2 linked regions of the Macaca mulatta genome follow. Each later gene encodes a partner of the first gene's protein in a complex. Links are inferred from orthologs where the notes say so. Each region holds a gene or a part of one and is shown on either strand. Other genes may lie near its edges. The genes, in order: NGFR and TRADD.

What was found.
Region 2: the proteins of NGFR (region 1) and TRADD are in contact, whole or in part, in an NMR structure (PDB 7CSQ), measured with the Homo sapiens proteins. The link is inferred for Macaca mulatta from reciprocal best matches to the Homo sapiens genes NGFR and TRADD. Residues at the interface, in NP_002498.1 of Homo sapiens: Glu345, Glu346, Glu348, Lys349, Leu350, Asn352, Gly353, Ser354, Ala355, Glu379, Ala380, Cys381, Arg384, Glu420; in NP_001310481.1 of Homo sapiens: Thr201, Phe202, Asn211, Ala275, Glu276, Arg278, Arg279, Thr281, Gln283, Arg284, Glu287.

What each region holds. Positions count from the first base shown.
Region 1 is NC_133421.1:60,502,464-60,506,266, reverse strand, and holds part of NGFR (tumor necrosis factor receptor superfamily member 16), read left to right. Parts: intron 1-1,373; coding exon 1,374-1,733; intron 1,734-3,803. UniProt on the Homo sapiens protein: Low affinity receptor which can bind to NGF, BDNF, NTF3, and NTF4. Forms a heterodimeric receptor with SORCS2 that binds the precursor forms of NGF, BDNF and NTF3 with high affinity, and has much lower affinity for mature NGF and BDNF.
Region 2 is NC_133425.1:62,699,040-62,702,942, reverse strand, and holds the start of TRADD (tumor necrosis factor receptor type 1-associated DEATH domain protein), read left to right. Parts: upstream 1-964; 5' UTR 965-2,969; coding exon 2,970-3,291; intron 3,292-3,903. UniProt on the Homo sapiens protein: Adapter molecule for TNFRSF1A/TNFR1 that specifically associates with the cytoplasmic domain of activated TNFRSF1A/TNFR1 mediating its interaction with FADD.

The sequences.
Region 1 (3,803 bases):
AATTTTTGTAGTTTTTGTAGAGATGGGGTTTTGCCATGTTGGCCAGGCTGGTCTTGAACTCCTGGCCTCAAGTGATCTGCCTGCCTTGGCCTCCCAAAGTACTGGGATTACAGGAGTGAGCCACCACGCCCAGGCTCTGTCCGCAATTCTGCCCCTTTCACTTCTCTCTGGCTTTTCCTTCTTTGCCTCCCTATCCCCCCACCACAGCCCCCAAGCCAGTGACCCCTTGCTCCATCTTGTCTCTGACACCTTTGAATAATGTTAAGACCCCACCCCCCAACAGGCCTCAGTTTACCCCAATGGTGCTTTAGCCTTTCTGCTTCTGCTTCCACATTCTGAACAATCTGTCCTTCCCTAGTTCTCAGGTTCCTAAATCTATGTTCTTTCTGTCCTTGGAGCAAGGATAGGTTCTGCCAGATCCAGGTTGGCACAGAGTTCTCCACCCAAGGCTGGAAGGGGTGAAGAAGATCTGGCCCTGCTCCTTCCCCTCCCTGTACAAGGAGGCAAGGACCCTGGCATGTCTGGCCTCCTTCTCCTTATTCTGGAGTGCACATCCACTAATTAAGAAAACATGAGTGAAGAATGAGCTTGGACATTTCCCTTGCATGCTGGCTGAAAGGGCAGAGGACGCATGTGCAGATCTCAAAGGGGTGATCATATACAGTTGTGCAGCTTGTGTACTGCTCAACAATATCCATCTGAGAGACTCAGTGTGGGCTAAGAGCCAGCTCTCTAGCTTCAGTGGCTCCTGCCTTACCTGAACCCTCTTGCCTGCTGGTCCGTCCCCACCCTCAGGAGCCAAGCCCTTCAGCAGCGTGGGGGTAGCGCCACGGGTGGGAAATTCTGCTGTCTAACCCCGGTCACTCTCATTCAGGGTGCATCTGAGCCCACACCTGTGTGAAGAGGAACTGAAGGCAGATGAGGCAGGAGGCTCCCTAGGGGAAGGCCTACCTTGCCTGGACTGGGTTAGCAGCCCAGTTTTGGCCCGCGGGGAGGGCTGGGTGGGAACCACGTTCAGATTATTCGTTAATCATGCTGGAACACCCTACAGGCCTGGGAAGTCTCAAAGAGAATTTGCCAAGAAACTTACTGGCACCAGCTGGGTTATCCGGGAAACCCTCCTGGCCGGCCAGTGCTTCTGGAGGCTGAAGGAAGCGGCTCCGGGCCTCCTTCCCCTTACCCAATTGGCTGCCACCAACTTTCACCAGGCTAGGGGTCAAAGTCCCCTGGAAGAGGGTGGGAGTCGATGAGAAGGCGAAGCTGAAGGAGGAAGTCAGCGTCCTGGCAGGCAGTGGGTGAGGGAGAGACTCCAGGCTCCTGCGTCCCGGGTGCCCAAAGAGCAGACGACTAAATCTGGTGTCCGCTGCGCTCAGGTGTGACGTTCTCCGACGTGGTGAGCGCGACGGAGCCGTGCAAGCCGTGCACTGAGTGCGTGGGGCTTCAGAGCATGTCGGCGCCGTGCGTGGAGGCCGACGACGCCGTGTGCCGCTGTGCCTACGGCTACTACCAGGACGAGACGACCGGGCGCTGCGAGGCGTGCCGCGTGTGCGAGGCGGGCTCGGGCCTCGTATTCTCGTGCCAGGACAAGCAGAACACCGTGTGCGAGGAGTGCCCCGACGGCACGTATTCAGATGAGGCCAACCACGTGGACCCGTGCCTGCCCTGCACCGTGTGCGAGGACACCGAGCGCCAGCTGCGCGAGTGCACACGCTGGGCCGACGCCGAGTGCGAGGGTGAGCGCTGTTAGGGAGCCGGCAGTAGGGGGTGCGGGGGTGGGCTGGGGGCATAAGGAAGGGCTCCCTCTGGAGGTCGACAAAGACCCCGCCTGGCCTGCTGGGGCAGCTTTGTGACCTTAAGGCAGCGTGCACCTTCCCTGAGCTTCAGTCCCTTCCTGGTAACCTGAGGGAGGACGTCGTTCCCGATCCTGTCTCACCAGAGAACCCCTCTCACTGTTTCCTTCTTTTGGCTAAGTGTTTGGAAAGTGGGGGGTTCTCATTGTCCCAGGCCGCGGGTACTACATGTAACTCATCCTCGGGGACTCATTTCTCTGTGACTGCCCGCTAGTGATTAGATGAACAGCAAGCAGCTCGAAGGTGGCCACTACCCCCAGGGCACAGCACAGAACACGAGGGGTCTGATCCATGAGGCAGGCTTTCTGAACTGGAAGAACAGCTGGAGGACCCTCAGGAGCTGGGACCCTTTGACTCTGAGCCCTGGTCTAGGTCCATGGTGGGTTTTGGCTCTGGGACCTGAGATGGAACCCACCCTGTCCTTATCTGACATTAGGGAGTCCACTCCTGTCTCTGGGCCACAGTTTCCTCACTGGTCATATGGTTGCCAGGGTTGTTGCAGGTTAGGGAGCACAGTGGGGCTGGCCCACTTCAGCTTGCCCTGTCTAGGGGAGGGGTCAACCGTGTTTTGCAGTTTAGTGAAGGATGAGGGGCGTGCAGGGAACACCAAGGAGGGGCTCTGTGGAAGAAGGGGGGGCAGACCTGGGGCTCAAAAGCCCGGGGACAAGGGAGTGCATGCTCGTGGCTGTCAGTTCCAGGGGTGAATGGGAGCTGAGTGTGCCCTTAGCTAGGCACAGGCCCAAAGGAGATGGGGTGATTCCAGGGATGGGAGGAGGAAGCCCCATGGGAGCCAGGGCAGAGCTGTTTTGGTCTCTGGTTGGTGACGTCCGTCTCGGGAGACGGGTGGGCTTTTCCACTTCAGGGAGAGGCTGGCAGCGCCTTTACATCCTGCTTATCCTCCTGTGGCCATGCACACATTGAGCTATTTCCCTTTAAGACCTAACCTTCATCCTCAGGTTGCTTTTACCCTGAGCAGGCAATACAGCACCTCCTTCAGTGAGCCCCCAGTTCGATGGGAGAGATAGCCTTCGCCCAGTCTAATGAGAGAGACGTGGTCCCAGCACTTAGTCCCCAGCTGAAGGAGAGACAGCCCTCACTTTAGAAATCCCCCATTCTGATGGAGGCAGCAGAGCTTCTGCCTCAGTCAGCACCTGATCTCCTGCCCCTGGGGACCCTCCAGTCTGATAGGGGCTCCAACATCCCACACCTGCCTTCCAAGTCCTGTGATCTTTGGCTTTAGGAGCTCAGGATGGGGAGGGCTGTTGGGCTAAGGCCAGGTTGAACTCAAAGCTGCCTGCCTTGGAGAAGGAATGAGGAGTAGGAGTAGGATGTGGTAGTTCTGGTGGCAATTGCCCTGGGCCAGGAGACAGGCAAGTGGCATCAGGCACCAGGCAGAGCGCAGGGAGGGTTTCAGCAGCCAGGCGTCAGGGAAGCGGGCAGCACATTTCTGTGGACAAGTCCAGACCAGCCAGCTGCGGGCGGGGTTGGGGGGACTTAGGGGCGCTGCAGAGCAAAGAAAGGTGGTGGCTGCGGGAGGAGCAGGCTTTGTGGTTTGGGGCATTCACAGATTCCTCTCAGATCCCAGCCCACTTTCCCAGCCACCCCAAAGGAGGAGGGTGCTCCTGAGGGAATGTGTTCATCCTGGACCTTGTTCCCCTTTCAGCTTCAGGCTCTGAAGGGTTAAATGTCAGCTCTGGAACGAGGGACCATTTCAGGAAATGGAATTTGATTCTTGGTTTGGGTGCCCCCTCCCCTCCAGCTTACCATACTTTCCCCCCTGCATATAAGTTTCAGGTGTCAACATGGTGACTCACCCACCCTTAGGGCAGAAGGGCTCCCCACTGCCCCAGTGAAATTCGTTTTGCTTAGGGGTAATCTTGTCCCTCCATCCAGCCCGGAAATGGCTGTCAGGACCTGCCAAGGGCTTAGTACGGGGGAATGCTAGTGGACATG
Region 2 (3,903 bases), on another chromosome or scaffold:
GGTGGGCTCCCCAGTGCGGGCGGGAGCGGAGGTGGATCTTGGCTCCGAAGCGTGGGCGCGGCGCAGATGTCACCAGCGGCTGCTCCAGCCAGCTGGTGGCGGCGGCCTATTGGGCTGTTCCCGTGGGAGGCGGGGGGCGGTACTGAATTTGGCCCCCGCAGGCTCTTCGTCCCTGCCAGCGCTTTCGAGGAGCAGTAGGGCCCCGCAGGAGAGAGGGTGGGGGAGGAGGGGTGGTTCTGAACACCTCCTTGAGCGGAGACCCCCCTGTCCACCCCAGCCGATCGCACGTGCGAAACCCCAGCTTGAGGGTGGGCTAGTGGGAGCCTGGGAAGCTCCCCTCCAGCGCTCGGGAGCTGCGTAGCTGAGTAGGGGGTGTGCCCGGCGGGTCGCAAGGAGTCGCAGGCTTTCATTTCTGGGCCACGCCCACAGGCTGTCCCTGTCCACCCAGCCAGAGGTGGGGCTGCCCCCGGGACTGTTAAGTGTTCAAGGGGCACCGTGCGTGGCTCGCCCCTGGAAATGGCGGCAGACGTTGTTAGGTCGGTACCCAAGTGCCCCACAGTCTCCGGCCACCAAACGTTCTCAGGACCCAGCCTGGAAGCCTCAGCCCCTCCCAAAAAGGGACGACTACGGGTGGGTGGGGCGCGGGGCTTCCCAAGGAGGGGCTTCTGTGAAAGAACACGTTAGAAGAGCTGCCAATCGGCGGATGCGAAACTAGGGCCCTGGCCTCTTTACCCTGTTAACTCGACCTCCAGCCTGGCTTACCTCCCCCATGGGTCTGGTACTAGTGAGTGTGAGGAAGCATCCCCAGTCTCCAGGTTCCCAGTACTCCCTGCCTCCCCACCCTCCCCTGCAGACCTGATGGGCAGACATTGGTCCCGTTTGGTCCCCACTTCCACCCCTTGGGGTGGGGCCACAACCATCGGGTCAGCACTCCCAAGTCAAGGGGCTAGGAAGACGTGAAAGAGGGAACGTTTCCAGGGGAGGTTCTCACTCTCTCCTACTCCCCAGGCCACTTTCCTAGGACTCCCCCTTATCTCACCTCCGTGGCTGGCTCCCTATCATGGACCCACTTGTCACCTGCAGAGTTTCCCACTTTTTCTTGTTTTGCTTTTAAAGAAAACAAATTTATTTTGCTCTTTTAATACAAAGAAAATGTCTCTACTTCACATAAAGCAGAAAATATTGCTAAATACAAAGAAAATAAAAATCACCCACAATCCTTCCCCACCCCCACCTCCCTCCCTCCATCCTGCCCAGAGATAAACAAAATGCAAATTTCCTGTTACTATCCAGACTGTGGTTTGGTGTAAGTACACAGTATTAATGTTTTCTATGAAAAGATTAGGAGGCCAGGTGTGGTGCCTCACACCTGTGATCCCAGCACTTTGGGAGGCTGAGGTGGGCAGATCGCTTGAGCCCAGGAGTTTGAGACCAGCCTGGGCAACATGGTGAAACTCCATCTCTACTAAAAATACAAAAACTAGCCAGGCTTGGTGGCGCATGCCTAAAGTCCTAGCTACTTGAAAGGCTGAGGTGAGAGGATTGCTTGAGCCGGGAAGGTCAAGGCTGCAGTGAGCCGTGATAGTGCCACTGCACTCCAGCCTGGGTGACAGAGCAAGACCCTGTCTCAAAAACAAGAAAATTTAGAAAACAAAGGTCGAGAGTAGTGGCTTACTCCTGTAATTCCAGCACGTTGCGAGGCCAGGACAGGATAGCTTCCTGTTCCTCATGTAAACAGATGGCAGCTGGGGCCACCCCATCTGTCCTGCCCCATAGCTAACACTCAACACTCCTCCTAGCCCACCATATATAAACCCTGATGACTGGAGAGTGCAGGAGTGTGACTGATGGGGCAGGAGGTAGGGCCTTGATCCCATGATTCTAGGAAAAGGGTAAGGTGGGGAGAAAGAGGGAGGGCAGTTTCTTACTTGCTGTCTCATGGGGTAGTAACTGGGAGACCACTGAGCTGTGGGTCAGTGCAGTGGTTCCCTGGCTGGGAATTTTGCCTCAGCTGGTCCAGGGCTAGGTTTTTGTCAGAAGATGGAGGAAGGAGATACTATGCTAGCACCAAGGGGCCCTGGCTTTTTCTGGACAGGGAAGGAATAGAACAATTTGTGTTGGAAATGACCAGAGCCGAACTCCAAGGGCTTTACAACAAAAAAGGATTATTTAGCTCACATAACTGAAAAGTCCAGGGTGCAGTGGCTTCAGGAACAGCTGGATCCAGGGGCGTAGTATGGTTGGGAATGCACTGCTCCATCTCTTGACTATTTCTTTCTGTGTCAGCTTCATTCCCAGCCAGACTCTTCCCAAGCAGTATTAAAGGAGAGCTACCTCTTCCTTCCAGTTCAGTCCCAAGGGAAGGGAAAGGAGTGCCTCTTTCCTATTGGCTCAACCAGAGTTGCAGGGTTGATTCTCATGGGTCCAACTTAAGTCCTACACCCTGCTCTGAACTAATCACTGCAGAAATGTGAATGGAATGTGCAGATTAGCCAGGTCTGGTGCACAAGCCCGACCTGAAACTAGGGAGTGGGACACAGGCACATGGATTGAGAAGAGGGAGGAGGGAAGTCCCTAAGGTAAGTCAGGCTTTCAGGAGGGAATCTGGGTAGATGCAAACTGCAGGTGTCCTTCAAAGTGAAGACAGGAGGTTTAGTCTTAGGCTGAGGTCCTCCAGAGATGCTGGGCTCAAGTCTACTCAGAAGGCAAGGCCAGGAGCATATGGGTCTTGTTGGCTTTGGGGCATGAGCACCATCCAGCATGAAGATGTCTCTGGTCCATGGTGGTTAGAGAGACACACAGGCCTGAGGAGGAGGCAGAGAAGCCCCACTGCAGAATCTGCCTCTGCTCCCCTCCACTGTGACCCTGGGCTCTTTCGCTGAGAAGGCAGTGGAGGGACAGTCCTCACTGCAAGCGTGGGGTGGGTGGGACTCAGTATAGGGCCAGGAGCTCAAGGGGCTTCCTGTGAGATGGTGAACTCCTGTCCCAAGTATGCCAACCAGTGGTGGGGACAACTGAACCATGTGGGACTTGAGGTTACTGTGGAGACGCTGAACCACGTGGGGCTGGACGGTTGTCTCCAGGGCAGAGGGAGGGGGGATGAACTGGATACCCGACTGTCTGCATCTCCAGGAGGTGAGATGGCAGCTGGGCAAAATGGGCACGAAGAGTGGGTGGGCAGCGCATACCTGTTTGTGGAATCCTCGCTGGACAAGGTGGTCCTGTCGGATGCCTACGCGCACCCCCAGCAGAAGGTGGCAGTGTACAGGGCTCTGCAGGCTGCCTTGGCAGGTGCGTGGGTGGGCGGGCATGTGGAGAGGAAGGGGTGGCCTGGGGCATTTTGTGGGTGGGCCTGGGCTTAGCCACCTTTAAGGAGAAGATTTAGGGTGGGAGGAGCAAGACAGAGGACCCCTGGCTGTGCAGGCTCTCTTCTCTGCTTGTGGCATGACCTTGACGGTAGACGTGTGTCCTCGTCTGTGTATGATTTACCTATTTGTGCACTAACATCTCTTGCTCCCTCGCCGCCCCCCTCCACCAGCTGGCTCACTCCTTTCTACTAATTGTGGATGTCTCTCTCCTCTTTTCCTCTCTTACTCCAGCACTCCTTGCTCAAGACCCCTCCCCAGTACCTACCCTTCCAGGCCCCCCTTTCCCATCTCAGGGCAGAGGCCACAGGAGGCTGAAGCGGGTTGGGGGATCTGTTCGTGGCCTCAGAGCAGCGACAGCCGCCGCTCTTCTTCCCGAGCAGTGGGAGCCGCGCTTGGTGGAGGCCGAACACCTGAGACCTCCCGCCCTCCTCTGCCCTGCTGGCCGCCTACCCAGACGGCTTGGTTGCCCAGGGCACACGCCCCCTTTTCTGTGCTTCGAAGTCCCTCTCTTTTGTCAACCTTCATTTGGGGCGTG